3 linked regions of the Caenorhabditis elegans genome follow. The protein of the gene in region 3 interacts with the protein of the main gene of each other region in a biochemical or structural test. Each region holds a gene or a part of one and is shown on either strand. Other genes may lie near its edges.

What was found.
Region 1: the proteins of mcm-3 (region 3) and mpz-1 form a complex in vitro, tested with the Caenorhabditis elegans proteins (one study listed by BioGRID).
Region 2: the proteins of mcm-3 (region 3) and dsh-1 form a complex in vitro, tested with the Caenorhabditis elegans proteins (one study listed by BioGRID).

What each region holds. Positions count from the first base shown.
Region 1 is NC_003280.10:10,775,077-10,779,906, forward strand, and holds the start of mpz-1 (PDZ domain-containing protein), read right to left. Parts: upstream 3,051-4,830; coding exon 2,998-3,050; intron 1-2,997. Other genes in the region: ect-2 (Protein ECT2), read right to left, coding at 3,866-4,016, 4,405-4,534, 4,597-4,738.
Region 2 is NC_003280.10:5,214,625-5,222,524, forward strand, and holds the start of dsh-1 (DiSHevelled related), read right to left. Parts: upstream 6,051-7,900; coding exon 4,532-6,050; intron 4,418-4,531; coding exon 4,342-4,417; intron 4,044-4,341; exon of another isoform or gene 3,840-4,043; intron 3,031-3,839; coding exon 2,909-3,030; intron 2,862-2,908; coding exon 2,621-2,861; intron 2,567-2,620; coding exon 2,391-2,566; intron 1,953-2,390; coding exon 1,716-1,952; intron 1,668-1,715; coding exon 1,500-1,667; intron 1,208-1,499; coding exon 1,041-1,207; coding exon of another isoform or gene 999-1,040; exon of another isoform or gene 496-998; intron 421-495; coding exon 308-420; intron 26-307; coding exon 1-25.
Region 3 is NC_003283.11:15,056,197-15,061,401, forward strand, and holds mcm-3 (DNA replication licensing factor MCM3), read right to left. Parts: upstream 3,404-5,205; 5' UTR 3,399-3,403; coding exon 3,190-3,398; intron 3,145-3,189; coding exon 3,052-3,144; intron 3,001-3,051; coding exon 1,636-3,000; intron 1,583-1,635; coding exon 930-1,582; intron 883-929; coding exon 764-882; 3' UTR 523-763; downstream 1-522. Other genes in the region: C25D7.16 (40S ribosomal protein S20), read left to right, coding at 121-270, 316-522; nssp-71 (neuronal small secreted protein), read left to right, coding at 4,188-4,239, 4,820-4,933, 4,979-5,043, 5,094-5,205.

The DNA.
Region 1 (4,830 bases), on a different chromosome or scaffold from region 3:
CGTCTTCCAAGAAGTTTCAGTAGAATTGTGTGCATTTTAAGAAAAAAATGTTCTGGAATATTGAAAATGTGTACAGTAAGACTGGCATGATTTTGGTGTACGTAAAGTGTACGTCCGGTTTTCCAGCAATAGTGTACAGTAACCATCCATAACCGAACTCATATCGAAACATAATCTACCAGTTTCGAGCTGATTATCCAAGGTCTCAAATCATCGAGGCGACCAGCTTCTTTTTTTTTCAAAAAAATCTTTACTTAAAATTCACATTTTGAAAACTATCCATTTGTTGGAAAAAAGCAATTCGAAAAATAGGCCAAAAAATCCAAAATTAGGGCAAACCTGAAGGTGACCTCTGCCTGCCTCACGCCGAAAACGCCTACGCATGACTGTTACGCCGACATTAGTTGTAGAGAACAAATTTCTAGGGATAATTGATAAAAGTTCTTTGGGGAATTATTAAACTTGGAGGCGGAATGAAAAGTGCTGACAGCATATAGATATTTTTAAAAAATGTTAAACAAAATACTGTACGACAGAAATGGAAAAAATTGTCATAAATCAGAAAAAACCAGAATCTGGAAGTACACGACGTCTATTTTTCTATTCCTCCCCGGAGTGCGAATGTGATGCATTTGTGTGTGTGTATTTCTCTCCATGTGTGTGTGTGTGTTTGTGGATAATTGAGCTATCGTCTTGCGTTGGAGCAGAAAGACGAAAAGAAGAAGAAGAAGTAGCAGATGAAGAAAAGAAAAGGAGTTGGCGGCGGAGGAGCTGCCGCGGAGTAGACGGACGGAGAGGAAGAGTAGGCGTGCTCTGTGTTGGTGGCTAGTAGCATCTTGAGAAGAAGAAGAAGAAAAGACCAGATTTATCCGATTGATACGGGTGAGAAACTGGTGAGAATCGATGTCCTGTGGAAGCCAGGATTGGTTTTTGAGAAGTTAGTTACATATTGGGTGAGAAGGTTCAGGTGGAAACACCCGTCTTCGCGTTCTACTGAGGCGCGACAGAATGTCACCCGTCACTCGCCTGTAAAATGCCTTCACAAAAAAATGTAGCCAAGCTTAGAGGAATGCGAAAATTCTAATTACTTGGGTGAAGCCTGTAGGTACCGTATGGTAGAAAATAGTATGACAACCCTAAATCAAATCTATTGAATCTTTTGTTGAAAGAAAACAAAAAGATACGGCAACTTATAATATTATTTTCCAAAACTATAAACAATGAAGCAACTGTTCGGAAATATTGTTCTTCCAGAAAGGAAAACGGGAAAGTTTAGGTTTTCTTCCAGATGATGAAAGGTTTCAGGTAAGCTCCCGGAGCCCCGATGCCAAAGCGTTCGGATTGTTATCTCAATAATACGGTCCTTGGTCTCGACACGACAATTTTTTCAAATTCAAAAAGGTATGCGCCTTTAAAAAGTACTGTAAATTCGAACATTTGTTGCTGCGGAATTTTCATCGATTTTTAATACTTTTCTTTCCCATATATACATTGTTACAGGCGTTAAAAAATCGATCTGCAATGAGAAAAGTTTGTGGCTACAGTACACTTTAAAGACGCATACCAGTCTGAAATTAACAAAAAAATTATCGTTCCGAGACCGGGTACCGTATTTTTGGAGTAATGGGGTTATTCAAGTAATGTAGCAAAATGTATTAAAATACATTTGTGACGTCACAAATGTATTTAAATACATGTTTTTATATACTTGAATAAGGTTGTGACGTAATTTTTCTACACTTTTTAATTTTCCGACACTACTTGAATAACCCCATAACAGTTCTGTGTACAGAAAAATCATTATGCTTAAATCAAGTTTCTATTTTTTTTAAGTTTTTCTGTTTTTTTTTATACTTCCGAAAACAAAAGCGAAAAGGTGTTCTAGCGTAGTTCCCAAGAGTCCTTAAATTCATCTTTCTCCTTGTCTACTTCAACTCTTCCGAAACGGATGTAACATTGAGCCGGCTCCGGGACCCCCGCCCTTCTCTATGCACCTTTTTTCCCACCAAACAACGTCCACTTGGCACAATGCTATTTGTATAGGAATCAGGGAAAAGGGCTTTTTCGAAAACTTTTTCGACTTAGTTTACTTTTTTTTCTTTTTTGGGGGTGCATGATGCTTCAAGTCATGATGCACCATGTCTATAATATGAAGAAAAATGAGGCAAGAAAGGAGGGAAAGTGTATTAAAAGAACAACATATGGTAGTGGTACTACACAAAGAAACATTGGAATAAAGATGGGACCAAGGAAAAAAACGAAGAAGAAAAAAGATGAGGAAAAGTATAGAGGAGATGCATAATTAGAAGAAGAAGCAGAAGAAAAGGAAGACGTCTCCTTCTGGACGGGGGGACACCAAAAATGGAGTACAAAATGAAGGGTCTAACTATATTATTGAGACATTGCATTTCCTTCGTTCTATTAAAATATATTTTCCCCCTTTTTTTGCCGCAGCTTTTTATAACCAAACTTATAACCAGCTTTATTTCATCAATTTTAACATACAAATAATTTTAAAAAAACAGCCTAAAAACGAAACTGGCGAAAATTGACTGAAAATGTTCGAATTTCTAGTTTTGCCGCCAATTCCTAACGAGACCCAACGTTTAGGGGCGGGGCGTTTTAATTTGGCAGTGGAGCGCGATCGTGCCCCAAATCAACTGATAAAATGTATGAGAAAGTTTTTCAAACAGTCTCTTATTATCCAATTGCGAATTTTAGCGATTTTCCCCAATAAAATTTGGAGGCTGCGCGAAAAGTGTGCGCGCCTTTAAATTGTACAGTAACCCAGCTGCGGCGTTTTCCATTTTTCTTCGATTTTATTCACTTTTACCAGAAGTTTCAGTTTTGTTTCTGAACAAAAAATATTTTTCTAGCAAGAATGTGTGGAAAAATCCGAGAAATTATCGAAATAACGGGAATCTGCGGGTTATTGTACTTATTAAAGACGCACATCTTTTTTCTCGCTTTCGAATCATTTTTTCTTTTCAGACCTACCTTCTTTCGGCTTCATCTTCAACTGCTATTATATCCTCTGGCTCATCGATCATTCAATGATGTATTCCAGATTCTGAATCACAATTAATTAGCTCGAATTTTAAGAAGATAAAAAAAATTTAAAAATCTGAATTTAAAATATACTAATATGCAGGATCCTGGCCAAGACGTGTTTCGGAATGAATGAATAAAAGCCAAGCGGCATGTGCTCCAAGATATGAAATCTCCAGGGGCCATCTATAAGGCTCCGCCCATGTTTCCTTTTTCTCACTAATCTCATCTTTGTTTCTTTGTTTTTAGAGAGTTCAAAGACTTAAAGACAAGTAGGGTGTAATTTCATTTGAACCCCCTATCGCATTTTCTAACAAGAATAAAATTTGAATTTTCAAAAAAAAAGAAAAAAGTAATCGTAACGTTACTGTGGGGGAATGACCATTCAAATGAATGGTGAGAATAAAAGGGGAAAGGGGTATCGGATAAGAATGGCATACAAGTGATTTCGGGGAAATAATAAAAGTCAAGGAGCAATGGTCACACAAGCCTCGGGGACAGGAAGATGATAATGACGATTTGGGGGGAAAAATACACCTGTGGTAAATGGTAAATCAGTATGATACAAAGGATCTGGTCGTAGTTGTGGATGGTGATTACGGTAGTTTCGGTTGTTGTAATTACAAAAACGAAATGAAAAACTACGGGTGAAAACATGAAAAATGTAAGAGGGAGGGAGCTGAGAGCAAGCAAGAAATAAACCATCAAAATACACCGGTGAGCATCTGGAGGTATGAAGCTCGGAAAAGAGTGAGAACGAATTATTTATCAGTCGGAGGAGAGATTCGAGTTATCAGTTACACGGGTGCGGGGAGTTTCAGATATCGGTGACACGATATGAAGATGTTTTTGAGCGAGGTAGTTCCTTTTCCGAATGAGCAAATCCGGTAGCCTGACGGCGCATCGACGTGTTTCGTCCGAGTATGTTGTGTCGGCCGCCGAGGAACGTTGTCGAGGTGAGGCGAGAACTGAAATAACTAACAGGATATGTTAGATGTAGAGTGTCAATTTGGCATTAACTCATGGGAAAATATGGTCAATGAATGAGGCAACACGCCTTCAAGATCCGGCCGAAAAGAAGATCTACTAAAAGAAGATCTACTAAAAGAATATCTACAATGTGAAGATCTACGGCTTCAGGATCTGGCACCGTGCCAATTAGAAATTTTCGTGGTTTTCTCGAAGAAAAACGTGACAACAAAGGAGCATCATTGTTAAGTTTTTCTTCGATAAAACTACGAGTATTTCTAGTTGACACGGTGCCACATCCTGAAACCGTAGATCTTCAAATTGACTTTTCGGACAGATCTCGAAAACGTGTTGTCTCCGATAAATCTGTGGGGTGCATTGACGTACCGAATTCCTCGCTTTGGCGTCGATTCAGATTCGCTTTGGCATCCAGGCAATCCGCCGACTGACGTCATGTTTGCGAGAGCTGCTGGATCACACGAAACTCTGGGAGACTGCAGAAATGTCGTGTTCTCGTCTGAAATTAGTGAATCAAATACAATTTCAGAAGAAAAAAAAATAAATTTTCTAAAAACGCACTAATTTGTCCCAAGTTATTTCGACTCTGATTTCTGCCAAAGCCCAGCGTGGTGGCAAGTGTGAGTTGAGCATTACTGAACGCTCGTCGCATTCGACTCTGTGACTGTGGTGGTGGCATAAACGACTCATTGTGTGACCATTCCTGTAATAAAAGTTTATATATAAGCATTCAAGTTAGGTGTAACACTGTGGACAATTTTAATTTCTCCACTCATGTATCAAACTTCATTTCTC
Region 2 (7,900 bases), on a different chromosome or scaffold from region 3:
TTTTCTGGGAAGAACAACAACTCGTCTGAAATATTTTAAAATTATATTGGGAGTTATTTCGAAAAACTATGTCAAAAATGTTAGAGTCTACCGTGTTATATAAAATTGGAACTTTTGAAGTCAGAGAAATTCAGACGAAAGTTTTTAAATTTCCAGTGCCTCACACTTTTCACTTTTTTCCAACTTAAGAAACAAGTTCTTTTGGTGTGGTTTTGAATTTTATTTTTTTCTTGAAAATGTTTAAAAAAGCTATATATCTTTACAAAATACAAAAATTTCTTTGTATGTTTATAGTGGAAAAACTCACTGTTTTCTAATTCCACCGCCACTACTTCCACTGGTTGTACTTCCTTCTCTTCTCTGTTGCTGCAATTGAGCTGGTGGGAATGGTGAAGCCGGCATTGATGCATATCCACTTACCTGTTTATATATTTTTCAAATAATATATTTCTCACTTTGCAATGTTCGTGTGGTGTGAAATATAACAACATTCTTTTGATTCAGAATATTATTTATTATTCTGTCATTCTTGTGGGTGGCAACATTGGACTGATACATTTACATGCTACTGAGAAATGAGGGGGCGAGAAAATAACAATGATATCGAATATAAACAATAATTTTAGGGCAAATGCAATAGAAAACAAGACGTTTTTTTTCTTAGTATAGGGTGCATCTATTTCAGACAAGGATGTGGGGAACTCGTGAAGAAGATCGCAATTCGTGTGAATTTGAGAAGGAAATGCAACAAAAAATCGACGGACAGATTCAAAAATAGAATAATCAAATAAAGGAAAAACATCCAAAATTACAATCACCGGGAACATATGAAATTTTGATTCATGATTGGAGACTTAGAAGTTACAAAATATTAAATTAGAACTTATTGTAATACCGGGTACATGGTGTACTGTGAGAGAAACTATTTTGAATTATGCCATTTTGGCATTGATTACCAGACATAATGAAACATAAACATGAAGAAAAATGATGACATTCTAAATGTGCATTACATACATGCGCGATTCGCCGTCGCTTACCATTGACGGAGCCATCCCTTTAAAAGCTCCAGGAGGGCCAGCCATACCTCCAGGTAAATGTGGGGGTGGGAGCATCACAGAGCTTCCGTTGCCAGCAGACATTCCGTTCATTCCGATGGTCCATTGGTATTTGGGTCCACCATCTTCATTTCGGAATCGGGCATAGTCTGGAAGTAATTTAGAAGATATAACAAGAAGGGTTGAATTTCATGTTTTGAATCAGGCAGGGCAGCCTTGAATGCAACCAACTTTTTTGCATTCCTATGGAGATTACAGGCAGACATTTTTGTGCATCAGTGAAAAATTTGTTTTAAAAATATAATTTGAAAAAAATAATTTTTTAAAACAAATTTTTAACATTTCAGTTCAAAAAAATTGCATTAAAGATTTCAAAAGACCCACTTCCATCTTCATATACAAAAACTTTGACATTTTCCGAATAAATGTATACTTTCCTACCTGAACACTCATCTCCAAGGACATAATAGCACTGCTCAGTGAATGTGACCTTGTTCACCACATGTGCAATATACTTTAATTTCAGTAAATCCGCCGCAAAGTTTCGTGCTGTCTTCCGTTCTCGAAGCCCTTCAACATGATCCAAAAGCCATTCGACCAGATCAGATCCTAAAATTGAGAATTAGAATAGGCTCTACACGTTCATTCAAAACTTACCCAAGAACGACATGGGAATCGGAATTTTGAGCCATGTTCGATTTTTGATATCAAGACCAGAGCCAGGCATAGCCATTATTTCGACAACCTTCTTTTTGTCAGTGTGTATATCAAGAATAATATGAGCTCCGCCGCCGACTACTGTATTTTGACCATTTGATCCGTTTGAGGTCACCGTTGAGCTGCTTGGCGGTCGACCATGAGGCCATTCACCAGGAATTGGTGTCGGTGCACTTTCTGGAAAAAATTTTTTAATTAATAGATATTTGTAGGAGAATAACGTAGAAGAAGAACAAAAAACAACATCGAGGCTGTCTTCCTGCCTGCCTACCTGTTTTCAAAATTTTGGTGCAGAAAAAAGGTTTGACTTAATTTTACATTCAGCCTTCAAAATTAGAGATGTGAAAAATTTCATATTTTTATTTTTGTTTCAAAAAAAAATTGAAAATTCCAAAAAGCTTTCCAAATGTTGTTCTACTTTAAAATATCCTAAAACATCAGAAGTCTGAAAAACATCAACTTGAAAGTAGCGAAGAAATGCACTGAATAAATTTCAGCCTGAAGTTGAATAGGTTGAGAGTGCAGCTTATAATTTTGCAAAAAATAAAAAGATCAATCAAATAACAGGCAGGTATTTTGTTTAGTTTTTCTACACTTCCAATCAAAAAACCATACCTTCAACTATACTTGGCATTCCTCTCATTGCATTCGTATGCTGGATCCATGCTTGAGTATCGATTGGTCTCACAGGCTCTTCTCTGCTATTCCTTGGTATTGTGAAACAACTTTGCCCATTTTCAAAACTTTTCGCCACAGTTAATTTGATGGGGCCACGACGGCTAACAGCTTCTCTGAAAATTCATATGTTGAAGAATAAGCTCTCAGTAAAAAATAATAATTTTTACCGTAACACATCAACAGCTTGATCGTTAGTGAAATTCTCAAAGCTGGTCTCATTGACTTGTAAAATCATATCACCAGCTTCAATTCTTCCATCCAATGCCACTGCACCTCCCTTCATGATATTTGCTACGTAGATTCCATTATCACCACAATTAGAAGTTTGACCAACAATTGAAATGCCAAGGAAATTGACTGTATCCATATTGAGGTTCACTGTTATTACATCAAGGCTCATAGAGGACTCTGGAATTCGAATGGTAAAAGTTATGCTAATTTCGAAGAGGTCATACCTGTGATACTTGAAAACGAAGATGCTCTAGAGGGTTTTCGGAAATTTCTTTTATTCTTCTTTTTCTTTGCCATTTTTTCATGTTGTCGGGATACTGATGTGAAATCGGTTGTTGTAGAGCCTCTGAAAAATTGAACGTTTTATAGTTGAAATTGTTATAGATTTTTCAGAATTTTCAGTCCAACTTTTGAAAATTGAGTCTTATTGAGAAACTTAAAGAAGCTTTGCATATTCGATGCCCCACAAAATAAATACAAATGATTTTAAAATTTAAAAAAAAACTGTAGAAATTTTTTAAAATCGAATTATTAATTTATGATAAGCGAAAACTGGTTAATTTCCATTTTGGACTGTAAATAAAAATTTCATAATTTTTTGAAAATCTTACTGTGGTTTTCAGTGATTTTTGCAACTCGTGAGTAACTTTGAACGTTATCAACTAAAATTTTACATGGTTTTCACTAGCTAAAAAAGGAAAACTAATGAGAATTGTGTTCCGTGAAATTCTAAATATAAGCGGAGCACTGCACAAAACAAAATGTTCAAATTCCTTAAAGTTACAACCTAGAAGTTTGTTCCACAAAATCCGAAAAGAACTGAAAGATTTATCGAAAGCAATTATCCACTTCTCATCCATCTCTTTCCACCCGTTCTCACGTCCTTTTCTTCCCCTCCCCAATTTTTATTAGTTTCCTTCAAATAGTGCACAACACTAAGAGCTTGTTGTGATAGTCACTACCAGGCTTTAGCTAGAAGATAAGCGCCAAGCAGGAATTGCTCAAATTTAACGAGCTGTGTCTTATCGCAGAATAAATGAACTGACACGTCGCGAGTTGTGGCACCCGTGCTGCTCGGCGGAGCTGTTCCAATTGCATAGTAATAATCAGAAGTTGAAGTGGAAGTTGTTGAATAATAGGCTTTACCATCAGAGCTTGCGAAATCATCGTCAGTTATGTAGCCGCTCATTTCACTATTTGAGGAGCGGAAGGGCGAAATCATTGGGGGCAGAGTGAGCGGGGATGAAGGCCCGCTTTAAGCCTAGTCATTTGTCACTTTATGTGACAGACAGAGAAGACACAAAAAAAGGTATTAACTATTTGAGAGGCAAAATGAAAACCATCGAATTTTTGAAAATATTTAAAATTTAAAATTTCAAAGGGGTATTGCCTATTCGTAAACTTGGTTTTGTTTTTATGAGTTGTTATATTTTGAATGTAAATTTTTTTCAATGTTGCATATTCCTTGAGATAGCCCTGCAAGACCTGAATGTAGCCCTATTATAACTTAAACTTTTGCTTTAATTTTTTATAAATAAAAATTTGCCGAATAAAATACACTAAATTTTGAAAGGAACACTGTCACCAGAGTACTGGCTTTACATAAAAATTCAATGAAATGAAACCTATGTTTATAAAATTAAAAAAAAAAACATACCTATCATCATCATCTGAAAATACTCTTGCATCGGATTCGGAGCCAATTGTTGATTCTTCGAGATGTCGTCGGTGCCCTGGAATTTAAGAAAACTTAGAATTCGATGCTTTTTCAAATTTTCATAAGATTTTGTTTTTTGAACCTATTACCCTTTACTTGATCACATCATTTTTCGCCATCATTTACCTACCGATCAAATAAAACGATGCATCTGCACTAAGTTCAGAGGTTAAGGATAGATGTGACGTCCTATGTAGAAATCCAATAAGATGTCTTCTCGGCGAAGCATCCGGTGCAACATCTTTCCTTCCTTGATAAGTACTTGTTGTATTTGATCCGCCGTACCTTCGCATTCTGCGCTTCTGTGCTCGATCCGCTCTCTCCTCTTCCACCATTGCCGCTGTACTTGCTGTTTCTTCCTCATAAAGTGGCGGAAGCGATGGACTAGTTGGAATCAGTGACATTGTACGGCTCATTGTGCTTCTTCGTGAAACAAGAGGTCGGCAATCAGATGATAGACCACTTCCATCTACAGTGACCGGCCGACACCTATCGATTCGGTTCAAACTTCGACTTTCAGATATAGTAATACTAGGAATAATAGGTGGACGATCGGTGGTTATTTGACACGTTTTGGATTTTCTGAGCTCCCTAGATGGCGGAGCAAGTGAAACAGGGGAATCAGGAGCCGCAAGGGAAAAAGTTGGTCTGGCTAATGCTGCAGCTGGTGCAATGAGATCCGGTGGTGGTGGCTGAGGTGGGCTCAGATTCTCTTTGAATTCTTTAGTATTAGATCGAGAACTTGATGGTGATGGAGATGCAGACCGAGATTTTGAACCACCAAGTGAAGTTAAAGACGTTAAACTTGCAGCCGAGTGGGACAATCTGATAAGAGCTCCAAAAAACGATGAAGAGGCGGAACCACCACCGGACTCTTTTCCGTTGGCGCCTCCTGCACTTTTTTCGCTTTGTTTCCGTCGTTGTAAAAATCTGCGCTTCGTTGTCGTCTTAGTATTATCCCCCTCTTCGTCGTTACAATCATCTGATGCTTTGCTGGTGCCGGGAAACAGGAGAGCCCCCTCGCTGAGCCGTTTTTTAAGTGGACCACCGAGCGCATTTGAGACCATCTGTCGCCATGTGGATCCGGCAGGTGTATGATTATTTGTGAGATCAGTTAAAGTCCGTTTTAATCGAAATGGTGCCTCAGACTCCGGCTCCACACGACTTTTACTTCTGCTCTTCTTCAACTTTTTCCCCGTACTTGGTTGCTGCTGGCTTCCTGAATTTTCCTTATCATCAGAAGCTTTGGAGGAAGGGAGAATGTTGTTCAGAATTTTCAAATTTCCTAATGGATTTCCTGTATATTTCTTCCTTCTTGGACTTTTTACAACTTCCGAGACGATAGTTTTCTCATCATCAACCAAATCAAGATCATCAATCTTAGCAAGTGGTGGAGCCTTTTTCTTCTTTTTTGGTCTTGACGATGTATTTGTAGGTGACGTTTTCAACTCAATCTTGTTAATCAATTGTGATACAACTCCCGGCGAGTGTTGTCGATTTGGTGGAGGAGCCGTGTATGTCGAACGGACTTTTCGTTCTTTTGAAGTGAATAATAATGAGCGAATCATATCAGATGAAGTGGATGGGGTATTTGAGGAGCCAGAAGGAGATGGAAGGGCTCTATCTCGAGCTCCAAGCTTGATACTCATTGCTCGCTAGTGAGCTATGAGCAATCGTGTCGTTCTCTAGAAAATCGGTTTTAAGTTTTTGATAGTAATAGAGCTGGGAAGTAATAAAAAAGCTTGAAGGTAATAAAAAGAAGAGAAAGAAACGAGAAACACACCTCGATGGGGGGTCATAAATTTCCCAGCATCCCATCTTGTGGCTCATGATGCACTTGGATTAGAAACAGATACTTTCGTTTTACTTTTATCATGTGCTGGGAATTTAGAGAGAAACTGAGAATTTAATAGTCGACACATCGGGAAAGTTGGTACTCAAAATAATCCTGTTGACACCATAAACACTGTCGTTAAACTTTAATCGGACTTGACATATGTCATGTTAAATCTCAATTGACTCGACTATGATAGTGACATCTAAAATTGATAAATTCCTATATAATGAGAAATGCAAAGATTGAGATATTATAATTTTAATATAATATAATTGGTCTATGAGTTTGTTAAGATTCAAGCCATAACAGTAGAAAAATTTAAAAAAAACTCAAGTTTTTATACGCTTAAATCTCGATGTTATTTTGAAAGACAAATGTTTGCTTTCATTTAACTTTTATTTAATTAATCGTTAACATTCACTGATACATCTAATAAAATTAAAATTATAGTTCAATACGTTTCGGTCGAAACTATGTGGCTATCAATTAATAAGATTTTCCCCGTTTCGCAAAAGAGCTTCAGAATAAGTGTTACCATTTCTCAACTAACAAATTTCTTCAACTGGTGGGCTGGAAAATGGCACATGACAACTAAAACCAAGAGCTCACTATCAGTTATTTATATCAACAAATTGCAACTTGACTTATGGCTCACAGTCAAACACCGCAGAGATCCAGAGGAAAACACAATTTGCTATGGTCAGATTAAATGGCAGTTGCTTAAAGAATATTGATCGAAAATTTTTCATCATGACTAGTTGAACAAAGAGTTGCAAATTGATCTCACTGAAACATGTTGCAATGGCTCTTGATGATGACGAAGTATAAAATCAAATGTTTGAATCCACCTACACACATGGGCTAGCAAACATTGATCGGAGGCAGGAAAAGCGGATAAAGCATAGAAAAGATCATTATCAAACTGTCTTTTCTCCCCAAAATCCCGATAGGTATCATGATAGAAATCACAAGTGAGGGATATCCGAAAGTAAATAAAACCACAGATCTCACTATTATAAGGCAGATATCTATTTTCGTGTTAACGAGAATGAGAGCAATATTATGAGATCCTGGGGTGGGTACTAGAGACTATTTCGACACAAAAACGATAATAGTGACAAGTAGAAACATACACAGAAATCGACAAGTGAGCGGACAAAAAAAACTAACTAAAAGTGGGGTGAAGTGGTATGAGGTCTCGAGAAGAGTGTTCAAGTGGAGAGAGAGACAGAAGGAAAGCATCTTGATAAACACTGTGATAAACTCATCGGTCTTCGGGTTTTCATTCCCACTGACGTCGAGCACAGAGATATAGAGAACGGTTTCTCACAAAAAGTGGTGGAGCAAGCAAGGAGCCCGGTTGACCCCCTAACAGAGAAGTTCAAGGACTAATGTTACAAAAGATCGAGAATTGGATGTCAAAGAACATATTTTTCCAATTAACAATGCTTACAAATTCTACCGTACACTACAGTTCTTAAGGTCGCAAAGAGATATTTTTGGTATCTGGTTAATAATTTTTTATTCTCTAATGTCGAAGCTAAACTAAACTAGCTGTGACTTGTTCGCAATTTACCATTTTCAGATGTCATTGTCAGATATTTCAGAACAAAAATTTTTGAAATAAAACAGCTGGGTAGCCTTTCAATGCAACTAGATATC
Region 3 (5,205 bases):
TCTCATATTTATTAAGCGGGTTTCTATATTTTTTTGTTCACGCTGAAAAACATTTCAAAATAAAAAAAGCTAATAAATCGTTCCAAAAAAATGTATTTCCTATATCTTCGAATCTAAAAAATGACGTCTTCTTCCGTTCAACAATCGATTGAAATTCGTGTTAATTGGAATGAAATTCCAACAATTGAGCAAAAAATTTTGGAGGCGCTGAAAGGAATAAAAACTCGAAATATCCGAGAGACGAATGTAGTTTTGTTCAAGAAAAATGAGGTATGTTTCCACTTTCTCATTCCTTTCCAAATAATTGTTTTCCAGGAAATTCATGTGAGAATCGAATTGAAGCCAATGGAATTCCCTGACACAAATCGTTGCAAAGCGGTTCAAGCGAACACCATTCCGTTGGTTGGTGACCATCGACTCGGATGTACCGGAATTCAGTATCGACAGGAGAAGGCAGCGAAACGTGGAAAGAAGGCTCGCATGTCGACCGGCGTTCAGACAGTCTCCACAAAGAATCAATGACCAAGAGTACTTCTTTTATCCGGTTACGCGATTGATAAAGAGATATAATAGGGGGAGGAATAAAGAGAAAAGAGAGAGACAACATAGTACAATAGGCAATGTAAAATCAATGTGAGTGGATTAGGAGACCCTAGTTAAAATGAAATAGGAATGATAATCAGGTGAAAAAAAGGATAAAATAATGATTTGATTGAGAGATCGAAAAGAAAACGGGGCTTATGTTCCAGCTTCCAGCAGGAAATTAGATGAGAGTGATCTTATCTTCGGCAATCATTGCAGCGTTATCGTTTTCCAATTGTTCGTATCCAGCCTTCAGCTCATCCTCAGTGAACTTGTGTGATCCGGCTTGAGTTTGAACACCTGAAAACATTTTTGTAATAAACATTTTTAATGAAACATTTGCTTACTGTCTGTGATAATTTGAAGTTCAACCATATCGTCGGTGCTTCCAATGTCGTCGAACGCCTTTCTGACGTACTTCCGAAGCTCCTTATAACGATCAACTCCGATGGCAGCCGGTCCAGTACGTGCTTTCTTAGCAGTTGGCTGACTTTCTCCAATGGTAGTATCCATCATAGAATCCTGGCTATCATCATCTTCAGCACGCCTTCTGACTCCACGACGCGGGGTGGCTGCAGTCGGAACGGAGCTAGATTGAGGCTCTTCCGATGTTGCCATGTCCTCGTTATCGCTCTGATCCTCATCATCGTCACCATCAATTCGTGGAGCTCGCTTCTTCTTCTCATACTCTTGACGAGCCTTTGGCTTCTCCTTGAAACAGGCAAAGTGGAGCAGATTGTAAGCTTTCTCAGTATCCTCTCGTTCGACTTTTTTCGAGAATCTTGCCTTCGCGATAGCAGTTGACAAACGAATCAATGTTTCGAGTTGACGAGCGGTGACAGGCATTGTTCGTTCTTGATCAGTTTTGGTGATATCAAATGAACGAATATCGGCATATACTTCAGAAATGTACTCAGTAGCTTCATCGGTGAGTTTTGGTTGAACTGATCTTGCCAAATGGATGTACTTTCTCATGAAGTCCATTGTCAGGATTTTCGTGCTGAAATAGAGAAATTAATTAATTTATATTGTTTTTTTATAAAAGAAACTCACTCTTGAATACCAGCCCATTGGGTATTTTCCTCATAGATCGAGCTGCTCGCCTTCTTAGTCTCCATATTGATTGTACTGATCGTCTCAACACCTCCACCCATCGGAAGAACAGTTCCATCGGCTTCACCTTGGGTTCTGTAAGTGTGAAGCTTGAGCACATGTTCAGCGACATTAGCGTCCTTGTCCGCATCATGCTCATCAAGAAGTACAAAGATCAAATCGAAACGCGAGAGGAGTGAATCTTGCATTCCGATGTTTTCCATTGGAGATTTGAATGGATTGTATCGTCCGTACACCGGATTTGCTGCAGCCAGAACCGAGCAACGAGCATTCAGCTTCGCGTGGATTCCAGCCTTCGAAATTGTGACACGTCCCTGTTCCATAACTTCGTGGATTGCAGTTCTATCAATATCAGACATCTTGTCAAATTCATCAATACAAACGACACCACGATCGGCGAGAACCATTGCTCCAGCTTCAAGACGACGTTCTCCCGAATCAGGATCAGTAGTAACAGCAGCAGTAAGTCCAACACCCGAAGATCCACGTCCAGTTGTGGTGATAGCTCTTGGGGCCATACGAAGAACATATCGAAGCAGTTGAGACTTGGCAACAGATGGATCTCCGATGAGAAGAACATTGATATCTCCCCTCAAACGAGAACCATTGTTCAGAATCTTTTCCATTCCACCTAGCAACAAACAGAGCAACGCTTTCTTTGTCTCTTCGTGGCCGCAAATTGATGGAGCAAGTGACCGAGCGAGCAGCTCAAATGGGTTTCTTGACTTTGAAATTTTACGAACATCTTTAACATCTTGTGGCTCAAAGTTTGGAATAACCTCCTTTGAAAGCATTTGAATATGATTAATGATGATGATCGAACGGAAGGATCCAGACGAAACTCCATTCTGCTTATTCGGCAGAACACGGAAGACTCCAATGATGCGGACACGATCTCCAGGCTTGACGCGATCTGCCAAATCAAGATCAGCAACACAATCGACGGCCCGAGGAAGTTGACCGGCTGGTGCGGATTCTGGAAGCTCTTGAATTGTGAACGTTTGATGATCCTTGTAAACTGAATGTCCGAATTCTGTTTCAAGAGGATTCTTATTTTCATCTTCTGTTGGATAGTTGTTATTGGTGACTGCAGTGTCGAGCATAGTGAAATCGGCAAATTTCTTCTCGAGCACTTTATTTGTTGCTGGACAATAGTGGACAGAAGTGAGAAGTTTTTGACGAACAGTTGAACACTTTGTGACGATTCCCTCACAGCAGACAAGGTTTCCAAGATATGATGATTTGAGAGTACGTGGATTGACGTGGCGCTCTCCGAAAGTTCCTTCAAAGCCGACGTGGAATCCACTGAAAATACAAATTGTTTAAAAACAAAAACGGCTTTTAAAAGCTACTCACGTTTTGACAACAGCTTGAACATCACTACGATTAATAGCCATTTGAAGTGCAGATTGTAAGCAATTCATCTCAAGAACGCTTTGGGTCAATAGCCTGAAAACTTTAATACTCGGGAATTCTTTATTTTTTATTAATTACCCTTCAGCTCTTTCTGGTAGAATTTCCCTGATTTCATCGAGATTCATCACCAAACGACTTTCTCCATCATTCATCATTTTCACAATTTTCTGACGATAGTGAAAAGTGTCGGCTTGATTGTCCAAAAAGTTGAGATACTGCTCCGTGATTTCTTGTTTTCGAGCATCCTCGGCACGATCAATGAACATTCCATCAGCTTGTCCGTCCATTTTTTCTGAAAATAAGATGTTTTTAACAAAAGAAACTTAAAATTAAAAAATAAACGAATAGAAACTAGAAAGCACGGAGAAGAGCGGGGAAAATAGAAAAATTCGGCCCAAATTCGCGCATTTCTCATTCAAACAGCAAGGTTTCGCGCGCTCGCTCCGTAAACACCATGACGCAACGCTGCACTCAATGCACCTGAAAGTGATGTTTGAACATGTTTATTTTAAATAGCTATTAATAGCGAAATAATTTTATTTAAATAAAAATGCCTGGAATAAAATGAAAATTGTCTGAAATTATCAGTTCAAAATTGTCATTTCAAGTTTCAAAAAACATCAATAACATTTGTGCCCGTGATCTATGCAAAAGATCTCTTCCAAAAATCTCCTCAATTTTTCATAACAAATCACAAAAATGGAATCTATTGTTTCAGTACTCACAAACTCACAGACACAGATGCTTTTCCATTCTATTCATCCCATCTTTCTTATTTTCTCCCTGCCTCCCCCAGGACGCACCTTTCGTAATACATTTATACATAGAAATGGGAAGAAAGTGGTCACAAAAGCACACATATACACAAAATTTATGCCGTAAAGCTTTAAGTGCTTTGACTTTGTCTCCTAGAAACTTGAGCGCACCGCGTGCTGGAAACCATTGGAAACCGTTTGAAACAACATCTATCGGACCCTCCCGCCGCCGCTCGGGCCTTCACTCATTCATTCATTCACAAAGCTATTTTTTCTGTGCTTTTTCGTTTTATATTCGCAATACGATACGAATACGAAACCATGAAACTTCTACTCGCAATCTCGATTCTGGTACTCTGGATTTCAGAGACAGGTGAGAATTGAATCTAGATTTATAACAGGACTGGCGAAATTTTGAACGTGTTGCCTCCAAGAGTACTGTACCGGGTCTCGAAACGACTTTTTTAAGACAAAATCTATTAGCTTACTATTCTTCAAACGAGTGTGCACCTTTAAGGAGTACTGTAGTATTCAGATTGTTTCCGGGTTTTCTTTATTTAGTTGCTATAGTTTTTTCTTCCGTTTTTTAAGTATCAAAAAATGATAATTACACAAGTGAAATTACTTGAGAATGAAACAATTTTTAGAAAACAGGAGAAAACTGTTCTGAGAAAAGTTAGAAACTACCGTACTCTTCAAAGGCGCAAACACTTTTGCAAATTTAATAATGGGTAGTGTCGAGATCTGATCTAAGGGGCTTGGTGTGCGCCTTTAAGAGGTACAGTTTTTCCAGGGTTCAAAAATGTTTATTTGAAAACTAAGTTGAAAATAAACCGAAAAATCTGAAAAAAAAAGTCGTTACTGTACCGCTTAAAGGCGCGTACCTTTCACGATTTGCAAATATTTCTTTCGTGGCGAGACCTTGGAGCTTTGGAACATTGACTTTTTTTCAGAATCCACAACATGCTTCGTCCAAAATAGTATTCTCAATGCGTTCACTCAAGTCTGCCCGGGAAACATCTACACCTGCATGAAGTTCGACTGTAAAGTGAACAATCCGAAGAAATGTGAGTTTTAAGCCTGGAAATTATCTGTAAAATCTGAATTTTCAGTCCGTCAGACCACTAAAGGATGTAATGATCCTGGAAATGCCCTGGTCGCCTGTACTCAGCTTATGGTAAGTAAAAATAAATTTATATATTTTTTCGTGCAAAAATTAATTTCCAGACGCAATGCCAAGCCCAAGGTGGAACCGGACAATGCTACACTTGCAATGGAGATTACTGTAATTCCAGTCCAACGAGCTTCTCGATTCTCATCTCCATCGTCGTTCCTGCAA